Anolis sagrei: one gene and its partner. The protein of the gene in region 2 purifies or fractionates together with the protein of the main gene of each other region. This does not show direct contact. Links are inferred from orthologs where the notes say so. Each region holds a gene or a part of one and is shown on either strand. Other genes may lie near its edges.

What was found.
Region 1: the proteins of ACVR1 (region 2) and TGFBRAP1 purify together in Homo sapiens (co-immunoprecipitation; 3 studies listed by BioGRID and IntAct, counting the BioPlex papers as one, with this or other methods). This does not show direct contact. The link is inferred for Anolis sagrei from reciprocal best matches to the Homo sapiens genes ACVR1 and TGFBRAP1.

The regions. Positions count from the first base shown.
Region 1 is NC_090023.1:105,840,294-105,847,830, forward strand, and holds the start of TGFBRAP1 (transforming growth factor-beta receptor-associated protein 1), read right to left. Parts: upstream 3,192-7,537; 5' UTR 3,071-3,191; exon of another isoform or gene 3,066-3,070; intron 1-3,065. UniProt on the Homo sapiens protein: Plays a role in the TGF-beta/activin signaling pathway. It associates with inactive heteromeric TGF-beta and activin receptor complexes, mainly through the type II receptor, and is released upon activation of signaling.
Region 2 is NC_090021.1:201,736,132-201,744,392, forward strand, and holds the start of ACVR1 (activin receptor type-1), read left to right. Parts: upstream 1-5,203; 5' UTR 5,204-5,486; coding exon 5,487-5,494; intron 5,495-8,261. UniProt on the Homo sapiens protein: Bone morphogenetic protein (BMP) type I receptor that is involved in a wide variety of biological processes, including bone, heart, cartilage, nervous, and reproductive system development and regulation.

The DNA of each region.
Region 1 (7,537 bases), on a different chromosome or scaffold from region 2:
AAACTTTGAAAAATAAAGAACCCTATTGAAATGAGTAATTTTCTGAGGGAGTCACATTGGAGGACCTAAAAGGTTCTTAGAAAAGAATCCTTTCTAGGAATTTGCTAGTTTTTCCAGTATGAACGTTTTTCCAATGATAACTACCAGCATGAATACACCACAGAATTGGATGGAAGTCCTAGAAAATTACTAGAGATAACACATTTTGTCAGATGAGGGTAAATGAAATTACATGAACTGGTCTCACTGGTATGACAGTCAAAAAATCCCAATTATCTCAACAGGACTTAAAGAACCAAAGCTTGATTGTTGATGCATCAATGGGACTCAAGAAATGGGTAAGAAAAATCTTATTCCATTCACAAGGCTTTCTTTTAGCCTATTATTTTAGTGTTAGCCCACTCGGAATCTACTTTTTTACAGGTTGTTGCCAGGATTTCTATTAATGTTTAACTTCTTGGATCATGTGCAAAATACAGAAATACTCTTATGATTACGGTACTAATTTGTATACTGAGGGTTGATTATTGAAAATGTAACAATGACTAGAGATTTTTAAAAAGCAGAACAAGTAAATGTTACCACATACACACACTAACGACAAAGTGATTAATTTGCAATTGTGAAATTCAACATGTTTGTTCCTCCCATAAGAATTCCTGTTAAACAGAATAAAACTACAGCACCTTCCTTAAGTTAGAAATTATGTCATGCTTTCCAAAAGTGTTAAGTGTAGTTCGCTTGACAAAAGCACAGTTTCACAGATCATTGATTCAGGACATTGCTATTTACTATCTGTTAGAAGCAGAAACAGAGACGGTTGTGAATGTCATGACTTTCCATACTGGTCTATTGTCAACATTTTCAGAAGGATAGTACTGCTTTCTCTGTTCCCAAAGTTGAAGACAGAATATGTACATGGGCTATGCCACTTCTCTTGGGCTTTCAAAACAAAGATTGTGGCATTTTTCAATCCATTCCAACTTTTCCAATCAATACAGTAAGTTCTTCTCCACTGGCATCTCAACAGGCATTTAGAATTGAGATAATATAAGTTCCTTGGTTACTTATTACTACACTTGTTTGCCTATATAGTGCCAGCAATGTGTATAACATTTCACAAATAAAACAACCAAAAAAAAAAAAAACATAGCTCCTGTCAAACATGTACAACTCAATATCGCTTGATTTTTGGATTTAAAAAATATTTCCAAGGTATGGATAGTAGGATTTGTGGATGCAGAATCCGCGGATACAGAGGGCCAACTGAAGTATTACCTCCCAAGCTCTGCTGTTCCAGGTATTTTGAACTTTGGCACTCCGGTTGGATCTACACCACCACATAATCCAATTATAAAAGCATATAATTCAGATTATCTGCTTTGGACTGGGTTATATGAGTCTACACTGCCATATAATCCAGTTAAAAACAGATAATCTGTATTTGGAAGTGGAGATAGGGACTAAGAATCCCTGTTCATTACCAAAGACATTTGAGGCTTCTGTGAGTTGAAGACCACTGAAGTCCAAAACACCTGGAGGGCTAGAGTTTGGAGATTACTAATGTAGACACTGCACTCCTATTGATGCAACCATTCCTCACACTGTAGGCTCTTCATCTTGAGAAACAAGACATTGGGGGGGGGGGGGGGGGGACCTACACAGCACAACAACAAATAATTCTTAGTGTTTTAGGGTCCTTCCACACAGCCCTATATACCAGAATATCAAGGCAGAAAATCCCACAGTATCTGCTTTGAATTGGGTTATCTGAGTCCACACTCAGATAATGTGGGATTTTCTGCCTTGATATTCTGGAATATAGGGCTGTGTGGATGGGCCCTTGGTTTCGATGCCTGTTCTTGGTGTTATTTGGGGCACTGATTCAGACAATTGCATTGGATAGACCGCATCAGGTCTACCTCTTAGGCCCCTTCCACACAGCTAAATAAAACCCCACATTTTCTGCTCTGAACTGGAATATATGGTAGTGTGGACTCAGACAACCCGCTTCAAAGCAGATATTGTTGGATTTTCTGCCTTGATATTCTGGATTATATGGCTATGTGAAAGGGCCCTTAGGCTCCTTCTACACAGCTGTATAAAATCCACATTATCTGGATTTTTTTGGCAGTATAGACTATGGCCCCTTCTGCACGGTCAGATCCAGGTTATCAAAGCAGAAAATGAGCAGATGACAACTCGTAGATGGCATATATTATGTATCCCAAAAACTAAAGCTGATGGGGGAAGACTGGTGCCATTTTTGGAATCAGCAGGTCAAATATGCCCAGAAACAGGGATAACACTTGTGGCAGCAAAATGTGTGTAGTTAATGCAGAAGGGCACTACTGTTAATTGCCATGGCTGGATGCTTTGGGTGTTGCAGTTGTACAAGGTCTTTGAGCGCTCTCTGTCAAAGAGGGCAAGCGCCTCACCAAAGGACAACTCCAGCCCCTTCCATACAGGTGTATAAACTGCACTCTGAACTGGATTATAGGGCAGTGTGGACTCAGGGCTATATAACCCCGAATATCAAGGCAGAAAATCCCACAATATCTGCTTTGAACTGGGTTATCTGAGTCCACACTGTCATATATTCCAGTTCAAAGCAGAAAATGTGGGGTTTTTATTCAGCTGTGTGGAAGAGGCTAATCCCAGTTCAAAGCAGATATTGTGGATTGATATTCCGATATGATCTGGCTGTGTGGAAGGGCCCTCCCACAGTTCCATTGGGCGCTTAGCCATGGCAATTAAATAGGTGCCAAACTGCATTGATCCTGCAATGTGGGTGCAGTTTCAATGCATTGTGAAGGCTTTCATGGCCGGAATCGCGGGTTGTTGTAGGTTTTTCGGGCTGTATGCTTGCCACAGATGCAGGAGAGAACGCTTCAAGAATATGCCCATACAGCCCGAAAAACCTACGACAACCCGGTGCACTTTCAGCCTGCAACACAGCCGCCCTCCCTCCCTCTCAAGCGAGAGACCCAGAGGCATGGCTGTGCGGACCAACCCCTCAAGAGCAGGCCGGGCTGGAGCCTGCCCGCCCTGCCACCCCTTCTTACCCCGCCTGCCAGGGCCCGGGCCTGCTCTCTTCCCCTTCCTCACGCAAGGCCCCGGCGTTGCCTGCCTGCCTCGGCCGCGGCTGAGCTTCTTCCTCCGGGGGCGGCTCCCGGGGCCTTCCGGTCACAAGGCAGGCGGAGAGGCTCCTCCCACTCTTGGAGCGCTATCGTGCCTGCTGGGGTTGCCATGGCGACCTTTCTGCGGGATTCTGGGGCTGGTAGTACCGTGGCCACCCAAGGGATCTCCGCCTGGGAAGCCTGTATCTCCCTCGCAGAAGGATTAATGCAGTTGCACCCTGCCCTGGCTGAATGCTAGGGAAAATCATGGGAGTTGTTGTTGCACAAGGCCTTGGAACCTTCTCTGCCCAAGAGAACTACAACTCCCATAATCCCGTAGCATTGAGCCCTGGCTGTCAAAGCGGTGCCAAATGCATTCATTCTAGATCAGGCTGTTAGGAATTGTGGGAGTTGAAGTCCAAAACACCTGGAGGGCCCAAGTTTGTCCATGCCTGTTCTAGGTAAAACGTAAAGATCTCCCTTGACGTTAAGTACAGTCGTGTCCAACTCTTGGGAGGGGGAGTGATCATCTCCATATTTAAGCCAAAGAGCTGGCATTGTCCTTAGACACCTCCATGGTCCTCCATCACTCATCCATGATAGCAAACTCCCACCATCCTACAACAGCGGGAGATGGCACCGAGGTTATAACCCAGACCTCTTATTTGTGAGCGACAGCATCGTACAGCAATGCACCAAATCAGTGGGACCACCAATCCCAAACACACAGCACCGACCAATAATATGCCAACTGTTCCCAACAATAAGGCCTCAGGAAGTTCGATTTAAACGAAGATACAACTTCAGAAAGGCAGATTGGACTAAATTCTCAGACATGTTAGACGACATGATCACATCGGTCGCGCCAGTCCCTGAGGAATACGAACATTTTATTGAAATAGTGAAAACCTGCTCACGGGCCTCTATACCGAGAGGCTGCAGAACCCACTACCTCCAGGGCATTACTTCTGAAACAGCTGCCTTGTTGGAAAATTATTACAGGCTCCACAACGAAGACCCATTCAGTGAGCAGACTCTTCAGGCAGCGCAGAGCATTGTGTCCTCCATCTCTGAAGCCAAGAAAGAACAGTGGATCAAGTTGATCACAGAGGTCGACATGGGCAGGAGCAGCCAGAAGGCGTGGAGGCTGCTGAGACGGCTGAGCAACGATCCCTCACAAACTAATACCCATGCCAACATAAAGGCAGATCAGATAGCACACCAACTCTTGAAGAATGGGAAACCCAACCTTGCCACCAAAGTAGGAAAGAAACCAATAGCCAGACAGCCGGAGATTGAGAACAACAACCTCCATGAACCCTTTACATCTACTGAATTGGACATGGCTCTCAACAAATGTAAGAATGGCAAAGCAGCTGGCTTGGATGATCTACGGATGGAACAAATCAAGAACTTTGGTCCAAAAGCAAGGCGCTGGCTGCTGGAGCTGATGAACAACTGCACTGCATCCTGTCAGATCCCCAAAATCTGGAGGAAAGCAAGAGTCATCGCCATCTTGAAGCCAGGCAAAGACCGTAATGACCCAAAAAGCTACAGACCAATCTCCCTGTTGTGCCACCTCTACAAAGTTCTGGAGAGACTTATTTTGCATAGAATTATGGAAAATATAGACCCCTGTCTGATCCCACAGCAAGCTGGCTTCAGAAAAGGCAAAAGCTGCACATCGCAAGTGCTGAACCTGACCCAGCACATAGAAGATGGCTTTGAAAGGCAGCAGATCACAGGAGCTGTCTTCATAGACTTGTCAGCAGCCTATGATACTGTGAACCACCGCCTCCTCCTGAGAAAAATGTATAATATCACAAAGGACTACCACCTCACCCGCCTCATAGGAAACCTGCTACAAAACAGGAGCTTTTTTGTTGAGTTCCAGGGCCAGAGAAGCAGATGGCGGAAACAGAAGAACGGCCTGCCTCAGGGGAGCGTGCTTGCTCCATCCATGTTCAACATCTACACAAATGACCAGCCACTGCCAGAAGGGACAGAGAGTTTCATCTATGCTGACGATCGTGCCATTACTGCTCAAGCAGGGAGCTTTGAGATGGTAGAACAGAAGCTCTCCGAAGCTCTAGGTGCTCTTACTGCCTATTACAGGGAAAACCATCTGATCCCTAATCCATCTAAAACACAGACATGCGCCTTTCACCTTAAGAACAGACAAGCATCCCGAGCTCTGAGGATTACCTGGGAAGGAATCCCACTGGAGCATTGCAGCACACCCAAATACCTGGGAGTCACTTTGGACCGTGCTCTGACCTACAAGAAGCACTGCCTGAACATCAAACAAAAAGTGGGCACTAGAAACAACATCATACGAAAGCTGACTGGCACAACCTGGGGATCACAACCAGACACAGTGAAGACATCTGCCCTTGCGCTATGCTACTCTGCTGCTGAGTATGCATGCCCAGTGTGGAACACATCTCATCACACTAAAACAGTGGATGTGGCTCTTAATGAGACATGCCGCATTATCACGGGGTGTCTGCGACCCACACCACTGGAGAAATTACACTGCTTAGCCGGTATTGCACCACCTGACATCCGCCGGGAAGTAGCAGCCAATAGTGAAAGGACCAAGGCAGAGACATCTCCAGCTCATCCCCTGTTTGGGTATCAGCCAGCACGTCAACGACTTAAATCAAGACATAGTTTTCTTAGATCTACAGAGACACTTGCTGGAACACCCCAGCAAGCGAGAGTCCAAAAGTGGCAGGCCCAAACCCAGCACCTCAATTCATGGGTGATACCAGATGAGAGACTCCCCCCTGGGCACTCAGAAGACTGGGCGACTTGGAAGGCGCTGAACAGATTGCGCTCACGAGATGCAGAGCCAATCTTAAGAAATGGGGCTACAGGGTGGAATCCTCGGCATGCGAGTGCGGAGAAGAACAAACCACTGACCACCTGCTGCAATGCACCCTGAGCCCTGCCACATGCACGATGGAGGACCTTCTTGCGGCAACCCCAGAGGCACTCCAAGTGGCCAGATACTGGTCAAAGGACATTTAACCAAATACCAAATTTACAAAATCTGTGTGGTTTTTTTTCTTTCTTTTTTTTTCTTTTTCTTTTTAATCTCTGTGTTTGTTTTGCTCTGTTGGAATTGTAATACAATGGTTGCTGATGACACGATAAATAAATACCTCCATGGTCATGTGGCCAGCATGACTGCACCACTAATCTCACTTGCTTATATGGTTATAACTCTGAGAATCACACATAAATTGATCTTCCTTTTTTCAAAAAGAAAAGAGCCAACTATGCAATTGGCCTCTCCTGGAATGCATTAAGATGGAAATGAATTCTGAACTCTTGACTATACAGTGTTCCCTCACTACTTCGTGGTTCGTTTTTAGCAGACTCTCTGTTTCACGGGTTTTTGAAAATATCAATATAAAATATTTACATCCAGTGGAGGCCAGGGACCCCAGAAGTGCAGCTTGCCTGAGGGACGGCGGGGAAGGCCTGCCTCCCTAGCCTCCACAGACCCTGGAAGTGTGGTGGCCTGAGGTGTGGTGGGAAAGGCCTGCCTTCCTGGCCTGCTGCCACCTGCATGGCTCTGGAATGACTGCCGGGGTCTGTGGAGGCCAGGGAGGCAGGCAGGCGCTCTTGGGATGGGCCGGGAGTCAGGTAAGGCAGCACGCGTAAGAATATATAAAATAATGTTTAAATATTAAAATTAATATGGCGTCCCTACTTTGCAGATTCTCACTTATCGCGGGTGGTCCTGGAACGGAACCCCCGTGATAAGTGAGTGAACACTGTATCTTCTTTCTTTTATATATATAAAAAAATGCTCTGTTCATTTTGAGTGACATCATAACTCAACTGGACGAATTGCCACCAAATTTGGCTACAAGGCACCTCTTAACCCAAGGAGTGACCATCACTCAAAAATTGATTTTGTCATTTGGGAGTTGTAGATACTGGGATTTATAGTTAACCTACAATCAAAGAGCATTCTGAACTCCACCAATGATGGAATTGAACCAAATGTGGCACACAGAACTCCCATGACCAACAGAAAATACTGGATGGGTTTGGTGAGCATTGACCTTGAGTTCTGGAGTTGTATTTCACCTACATTCAAAGAGCACTGTGGACCCAAACAATGATGGATTTAGACCAAACTTGGCACGAATACTCCACATGCCCAAATGTGAACACTGGTGGAGTTTGGGGAAAAGAAACGTGACATTTGGGAGTTGCAGTTGCTGGGATTTATAGTTCACATATAATCAAAGAGCATTCTGAACCCCATTCAACCAGGCCCGTAGCCAGGATTTTGATTCGGGGGGGCTGAGTCTAAGTGAAAGAGGGTTTACCCTAGCAAACCTTTTGCATCATTACCCCCATGCATATGGGATATATTGAGAATGGTGATCAGATCATGA
Region 2 (8,261 bases):
TAGAAAAGATAACAAAAAGAAATATCGCAATCTGTTGTTTTTAAGTTAAGACATTTGTTCTTATCCCTTCCCACCCCGCACCCCCAGCCATATGAGTATCTGCCTTGGTTTGACTAGTTGTTTTGTCTGTATCTCCAACTGGAAATCAGATGTTGAAGGTAAGGCACCGTTTTAAAGTCTGCTGAAGTTTTTACAGTGAAGTGACCTAAAATTAGCATGTTGAATTAAAGTAATTTTGAGAAATAACTGTGTTAACAGATACATTTTAAAAGCTCCGTAATAGTTAAAAAAATATTTTAAGCTACTGTTCCAGATTTTGGTCTTTGGTAATATCTCATTCCCACATTATCCGAATGCTCAATCACCATCTCCCAAACCAGTTACTCTACTCCGAACTCAAGAGCGGGAAACGTAATGTTGGTGGACAGGAAAAGAGATTTAAAGATGAGCTTAAAGCCAACCTTAAAAACTGTGACATCGACACCAAGAACTGGGAAGCCCTGGCCCTTGAGCGCTCTAACTGGAGGTCAGCTGTGACTTACAGTGCTGCAGAATTTGAAGAGGCACGAATGGAGGGTGAAAGGGAGAAACATGCCAAGAGGAAGGCACGTCAAGCCAACCCTGACCAGGACCGACTTCTGTCTGGAAACCGATGTCCTCACTGCAGGAGAAGATGCAGATCAAGAATAGGGCTCCACAGCCACCTACCGACCCAGCGCCAAGACACCACATCTGGAAGACAATCATCCTCGAGCTACAAGGGATTGCCTAAGTATAAGTAATTGAAAGAGTGGTGCCTAAGATGAATGAAGATGGAGAACTACACTCATATGAAAGAAATAAGAGAAGCAGGGTTTATTATGAAGCAAACTATATTCCAAGTATTTTTGCGAGGTAGTGGTGTTGGTTAGAGCTTCATCCTGAGTGATTCTGGTCCATGAAAATTGATATCATAGAATCATAGAGTTGGAAGAGAACTCATGGGCCATCCAGTCCACCCCCCTGCCGAGAAGTATGAAAATCGCATTCAGAGCACCTCCGACAGATGGCCATCCAGCCTCTGCTTATGTTGGTTGCAATTCTTTATATACTTTTCCAGGTACAAAAAACTGAACAGAAGCATTCAGTGTTAGCCACAGACTATAAATCACATCTCCATTGTATCAATAATTGAAGGCGAGAATTATGTGGCCCTTCATATTGTTACTGAACTGTTGACGCCCAGCATAATCAGCTACACTGGTTCATGCAGATGGGAGATGCAATTCAATAACATCTGGAGGCCCTCACAATTGCCGTCTGGAAGTAATCTGATCTTACAAACCGAATTCATAAAAACCTTGGACCTAACAAACCTTCAGAGTTTATTTATAGAAGAATCCTAAGTATTTCTATTGAAAGATGGGGCTTATTTGGGCTTAAGCCTCGTTCCAGAGTAAATGGATAAAGGAATGCAGTTTAAAATAATCAAGCCAGCAGTACTATTATAGTTCCTCTTGTTTTAAAACTTCTGTCAATCTAATACACGGAGAACAGCCAGTACCAATATGAACGGAGGTATTTGATTTATACTGTCAACCCACAAATTGTTCATTATTTTAAGAACGCTCATGGAAACCAGTTACATACAAGGCCCAGAAAGCGTAGTTATGAACGACACAAAAATATTTTATACTGTCCTTGAGAGTGGGCTGCATTTTTTATATAAACATCACCTACGTGATACTATTTGCGTCTTTTAAAACTCTGTGTCTATTTTTATTGGGAAGGCTCTGGTGGAGTCTCTGGTCCTAAGCTGACCATTTTTGGATGACTCTAGAGCAAAGCTTCAAACTCATTTTCATGGAGGGCCACATCAGCTTCATGGTTGTCTTCAAAGAACTGTTGAATCCACAGATGGAAGACGTGGATACTGAGGGACAACTAGATTTTTAAAAATATAGTTTATTAAAAAAAAATTATCTCACCTTTCTCTACCCTGATGGGGATTTAAGGCAGCTTTACGTATGGCAACGATTCAATGCCTTTGGACAACAACAGTTAGAATACACTTAAATTAAAACTAAAATTAAAATTAAATGTACATTAAAACATATAAAACATAATGGCTTATACTCTTTAGTTTTCACCCAGTTCGGGTCCCCAGATGTTACTGAATTACAACTCCCATCACTTTTGATTATCTGCCACATGGATAATGTTTGGAAAAGGCATAACCTTTTGGAAAAGCATCTATAGCCTTTGGGGAAAACCAGAATTTTCAAAGTCTTTTGGAAAGGATTTTATTTATTGTATCAGGAGCTAACCAAGGGTACAGTTGCAATGTATTAAAACACACACAGTTTTAAAACCTGGCATTATAGAAAATGTTATTTGACCAGTAGCTGGCCACTTGGAAAGGATGACCTCAGGAGATTAATTAGCATTCACATTATTTGGAAAAATCATAAACCTTTTGTAAAGTATGATCTTCCTGAGAAGAGTTAAAAATTCATTTGAGTGAATCTCTTCTTTAGTGGTAAATATCCACTAGCATTCATGTAAGGCAAAATAGGTCTCACAGTTGTTGGACTAATATGCCTGATTATCTCTTTGAACTGTTAGTAACAAAGATTATGCCAATACACAAAATAAATAGCAAATTTATTTATTTATTATTTCGTTCATACACTTGTACCCCACCTTTCTCACCCCGAGAGGGGGACTCACAGCAAGCACCATTCGGTACTATCACAATCATAAAAACATTTAACAAATTCATTAAAACAACATTAAATAAACAGTTGTTAAAACACACCAGTCAAAACCAAAGTCCAGGTCAGTTCATTGTCACGCCAAATTGCTTATGTCTTCTTCTCACTTCTCTCACATCTTCAGAAGTGTTATTTCAGTTGCCCAAAAGACATCTACTCTCCCATAAAATATATTAGCTTTAAATCATGACCTCAAGAGACCAAAATAAGGTAGTCTTTGTTCAAAGTAACATAGTTGATTTAGTAAAACAGTCACAAAATATCAAAACATACAGTACAAGACATACCATATGTCAAAATTTCACAGGTTAAAATACATATAAAATATAATTATATATCTCTATAATTAAAAGTTATCTGTTATCAGCATCGCCACAAGGTAAACTTGATGGTTGTCTACTTTCCCTCTTCTCCACAGGCTAATTCACACAGATGAGTTTTTAATTGCTTCTTAAAAGAGAGGAGTGATGGGGCCGTTCTGATTTCTTTAGGGAGGGAGTTCTAGAGGGAACGGGCAACCACGGAGAAGGCCCCCTCTGTTGTTCCTACCAGCCATGCTTGAGAATTGGGTGGGACTGAGAGCAGGCCTCCCTCCGTTGATCACAGCGTCCTGACAGGTTTATACTCGGGGGTGCGATTTGTCAAATAGTCTGGGCCTGAACCATTTAGGGCTTTATAGGCAATGACAGCACTTTGTATTTAGCTCAAAAGTGGAGCTGCCGTAGCATGGGAGTTATCCGCTCCCGGTTAGTAGTCTGGTAGCTGATCTCTGCACTAGTTGAAGTTTCCAAACTGTCTTCAAAGACAGTCCATGTGGAGAGCATTGCAGTAGTTCAAACGGGATGTAACTAAAGCGTGGTAAATCATGGCCAGATCTAGCATCTCATGGTACGGATGCAGATGGCGCACAACTTTTAATTGTGCGAAGGTGCTCCTGGCCACTGCTGACACTTGGGTTTCCAGAGTGAACGATGAGTCCAGGATCACCCCCAGACTGCGAACCTGCATCTTCAGGGGGAGTGTGAAGCCCATCGAACACAGGCTGCAATCCTATACTCTGGTCCGCCTTCTGACTGACTGGGAGTACCTCTGTCTTGCTTGGATTCAACTTCAATTTGTTGAAGTTGAATCCATTACTGATGTCAGGCACTGGTTCAGGACCTGGATGGCATCCTTGGCTTTAGTTGGGTGTCATCGGCATAAAGGTTATCTGGATTTCGATTTCTAGATATACGGTGCTCGGGATATATAAATGGGGATGCAAAAGCCTTAGGATGCATCTTGAATGATCACTGTTTGGCCCCACTTGAACCGCCATGGTTCAATTAATGCTCTGGAATCACTGAATCATCGAATTGGAAGAGACCACATGGGCCATCTAGTCCAACCCCCTGCCATGCAGGAAAAACACAAAGTGCCCCTGACAGTTGGCCATCCAACCTCTGTTTAAAAGTTTCCAAGGAAGGAGCTTTCACCACACTCTGAGGCAGAGAGTTCCACTGTTGAACAGCTTGTACAGTCAGGAAGGGTCCTTCTAGACAGGCCCTATATCCCAGGATCTGAACTCAGGTTTTCTGCTTTAAACTGAATTATCTGAGTCTGATAATCTGGGATAAACAGAAAACCTGGGATCGGATCTTGGGATATAGGGCCTGCCTGGAAGGGCCTGAATGTTCTTCCTAATGTTCTGCTGGAATGTCCTTTCCTGTAATTTGAGTTGCAATCATGAAGTTGTAATTTTGGTGAGACGCCAGTACTCTTTGGCAGAGAAGGCGAAAGATCTTGTGAAAGGTCAGCTCCCAAGACACCAAGGAGCACAATTTGAATTTTTAAAAAATCTGTTCTTGCTTTGAAAGTGTTATTTCCTGTGTAATTGTGTGAGGCTGACTTTGGAAGTAGTTGTTCTACTCCAGAAACTCCAGGTGTTCATTGAAAAAGTATAGCAAAATGTGCTGCGTGATGTCCCATGGAAACAAAGTTTTTGTAGTTGGATAAACTCCCCCCCCCCCAATGCTTTTATGAGAGAGGAAATGAGGAAATGACATTGACAACCCAGGAACAAAAGTCGTATTACATGTTTCCATGAGTGATGGCAGTCAAAGTGGTGTTAAACTGCATACATTCTACAGCAGGCCTGGGCAAACTTGGGCCCTCCAGATGTTTTGGAATACAGCGCCCACCATTCCTAACAGCCTGTTAGGAATGGTGGGAGCTGAAGTCCAAACATCTGGAGGGCCCAAGTTTGTGTAGTGGAGACACAGCTGGGATGAGAATCAGAGTATGTCCTGCAGGGGGCGCGCCAGAGCGCCTGGCTTTGCGCCGGGAGGAAATGATGCGCCTGCTGCTGCTGCCGCCGCCTGGTTAATTACAGCCCCAGACGCTCATTGGCGGAGCCGGGAGCGGCCATGTCTGCCTCCCTCTTTCTCTCCAATGCAGCTGGGGAGCCCCTCCTCCTCCTCCGCCTCCTCCTCCCTTTCCGAGGGAGAAGCCAGACCAGCCTCTGACCCCCTCCCTGCCTCCCTCCCTCTTCTCGCCTTCCTTCTCGCAGGAACTTTGCGCTCCGGCCAACTTCGCCTTGCAGCGGCTCCTTCCGTCTCCTTCCTTCCTTTCTTTCCAGCCGCAGAGCCGCCGCCAAGCCCATGGAGAGGCATTTTCTCCTCCTCCTCCTCCTCCTCTAGCTGCGCCTGGGGATCCCGCCCCTGCTCTGCCTTTGTCTGCGCTGCTGCTGCTGCTATGAGGAGGTAAGCTGGAGCGCCCCCCCTCCTCCCCAAATCTGGAGCCCAAAGGCAAAGCCTGCTCTCCTTCCCAGCCCTTCCTTCTCAGCCCTCTTCTTCCCAGCTTTTTCCTTCTCTTCGCTTCTTCCTTCTCTCCTTCCCAGCCCTTCCTTCCCGTCTCCTTCCCAGCATTTCCCCTTCCTTCCCAACCCTCCCCTTTCCAGTTTTTTCCATCTCTGGGCTCCTTCCTTCTCTCCTTCCCAAACCTTCTTTATCCTCTCTCCCCCAACACTTTTTCCTTTCCTTCCCAGACCTCTCTTTCCTAGCTTTTTCCTTCTCTCCTTCCTTTTCCTTCCCAGCTCTCTTCTTCCCAGCGTTTTCCTTCTCTGGGCTCGTTCTCTCCTTCCCAGACCTTCCTTCTTTACTCCTTCCTTTTCCTTCCCCGCTTTTTCCTTCTCTGGTCTCCTTCCTTCTCTCCTGGTCTCCTTCCCAGCACTTCCCCCTTTCCTTCCCAACCCTCTCCTTTCCAGCTTTTTCCATCTCTGAACTCCTGCCTTCTCCTTCCCAAACCTTCCTTCTCTCCCTCCCAACATTTTCCCCTTTCCTTCCCACCCCTCTCTTTCCCAGCTTTTTCCTTCTCTCGGCTCTTTCCTTCCATCTTTCCTTCCCTTTCCAGCTCTTTCCTTCTCTAGTCTCCTTCCTTCTCTCCTTCCCAGCCCTTCCTTCTTTTCTCCTTCCCAGTTCTCTTCTTCCCAACTTTTTCCTTCTCTGGGATCCTTCCTTCTCAACTTCCCAGCCCTTCCTTCTTCTTCCCTTCCCAGCCCTCTTCTTCCCAACCTTTTCCTTCTCTGGACTCTATTTCTCTTCTTCCCAACCCTTACTTCTTTCCCAGCCTTTTCCTTCTTTGGGCTCCTTTCTTCTCTCCTTCCCAAACCTTCCTTCTTTCTGTTCTTACCAGCCTGTCTTTCTCTCTCCTTCCCAGCCTTCTTTTCTCTCCTTTCTCTACTTCTCTTCTTTCAAGCCCTCCCTTCTCTCATTCTTTTCCAGACCTTTCTTCTCTTCTCTTCAGCCTTTTCTCCTCTCCTTTCCAGATCTTCCTTCCTTCTTGCCTTTCTTTTCCTTGTGAGGGAAGAAGGGGAAGCTATGCCAATCCCTCTTTATATGATCCATTGTTATATATATTTAAAAACAACTCAGTGCCTGCCTTTTCTGCAGTGATTGCTGTTTTGTCCCCAGCTCTGTCTATGGAGGCGTTTTTTGTTTTTGTGGGCGCGACTCTTTGGGAATCCTTCATTAAAAAATAAAATCTCTCTTTGGGCACATCTCTACTGTAGAATGAATGCAGACCGAAACCGCTTTAACTACAGTAGCTGAATGCTAGGGAATTCTGGGAGTTATTGTTTTCTCCTCTTTAGCAGAGAAGGCTGGAAACCTTGCAAAACTGTACCTTCTATGTTTTCCATAGCACTGAGTTAGTATATAGTTTGGTGTGGCGCCAGCACTCTTGGACAGAGAAGGCTTCCATGGCATAAAGTGGCATCAATCTGCTCTAACTCTATAGTGTAGATCAGGCATAGGCAAACTTTGGCCCTCCAGGAGTTCTAAAATTCAACTCCTAACAGCCGGCTGAGATTTCTGGGAGTTGAAGTCTAAAACAGTGGGTTGCGGTGAGTTTTCTGGGCTGTATAGCCCCCAGTGGTGCAGTGGGTGAAAGCGCTGAGCTGCTGAGCTTGTTGACCGAAATGTCACAGGTTCGAATCCGGGGAGCAGCGTGAGCTTCCACTGTCAGCCCCAGCTTCTGCCAACCTAGCAGTTTGAAAACGTGCAAATGACAGTAGATCATTAGGTACCGCTCTGGCGGGAAGGTAACAGCACTCCATGCAGTCATGCCAGCCACATGACCTTGGAGGTTTCTACGGACAATGCCGGCTCTTTGGCTTAGAAAGATGAGCACCACACCCCAGATTCGGACATGACTGGGCTTCATGTCAGGGGAAAACCTTTACCTATAGCCATGTTCCAGAAGCATTCTCTCCTGACGTTTTACCCTCATCTTATAATGGGAACATCCTCAGAAGCTGAGGGGTTTGTTGGAAACTCGGCAAGGTGGGAGAAAGAATTCTTGTCTGTTTGAGGCAAGTGTGAATGTTGCAATTGGCCACCTTGATTAGCATTGAAAGGCATTGTAGCTTCAACACCTAGCTGGTTGCTGCCCCCGAGGGTCCTTTATTAGGAGGTGTTAGCTGACCCTGAGTGATTATTGTCCGGAATTCCTTTGTTGTTTGAATCTTCCTCTTTATTTACTGTCCTGATTTTAGAGTTTTTAAAATACTGGTAGCTAGATTTTGTTCATTTTCATGGTTTCCTCCTTTTTGTTGAAATTGTCCACATACTTGTGGATTTCAGTGGCTTCCTTGTGTCATCTGACATGGTGGTTGTGAGAGTGGTCCGGCATTTATGTGTTCTCAAATAATATGCTGTGTCCAAGTTGGTTCATCAGGTGCTCTGCTATGGCTGACTTCCCTGGTTGAATGAGTCTGCAGTGCCTTTCATGTTCCTTGATTTGTGCTTGGGCAATTTTGTGTTTGGTGGTCCCTATGTAGACTTGTCCACAGCTGCATGGTATATGGTAGATTCCTGCAGAGGTGGGAGGATCCCTCTTGTCTAAAGTTTGGCCCTCCATTCCAAAACAACTGGAGGGCCAAAGTTTGCCCATGTCTGGTGTAGATACTCTCTTGTTTCCACCAGGAAGATCTATTCCAACTTTGGAAACTTGGCTGATTGAGGTGGAGCA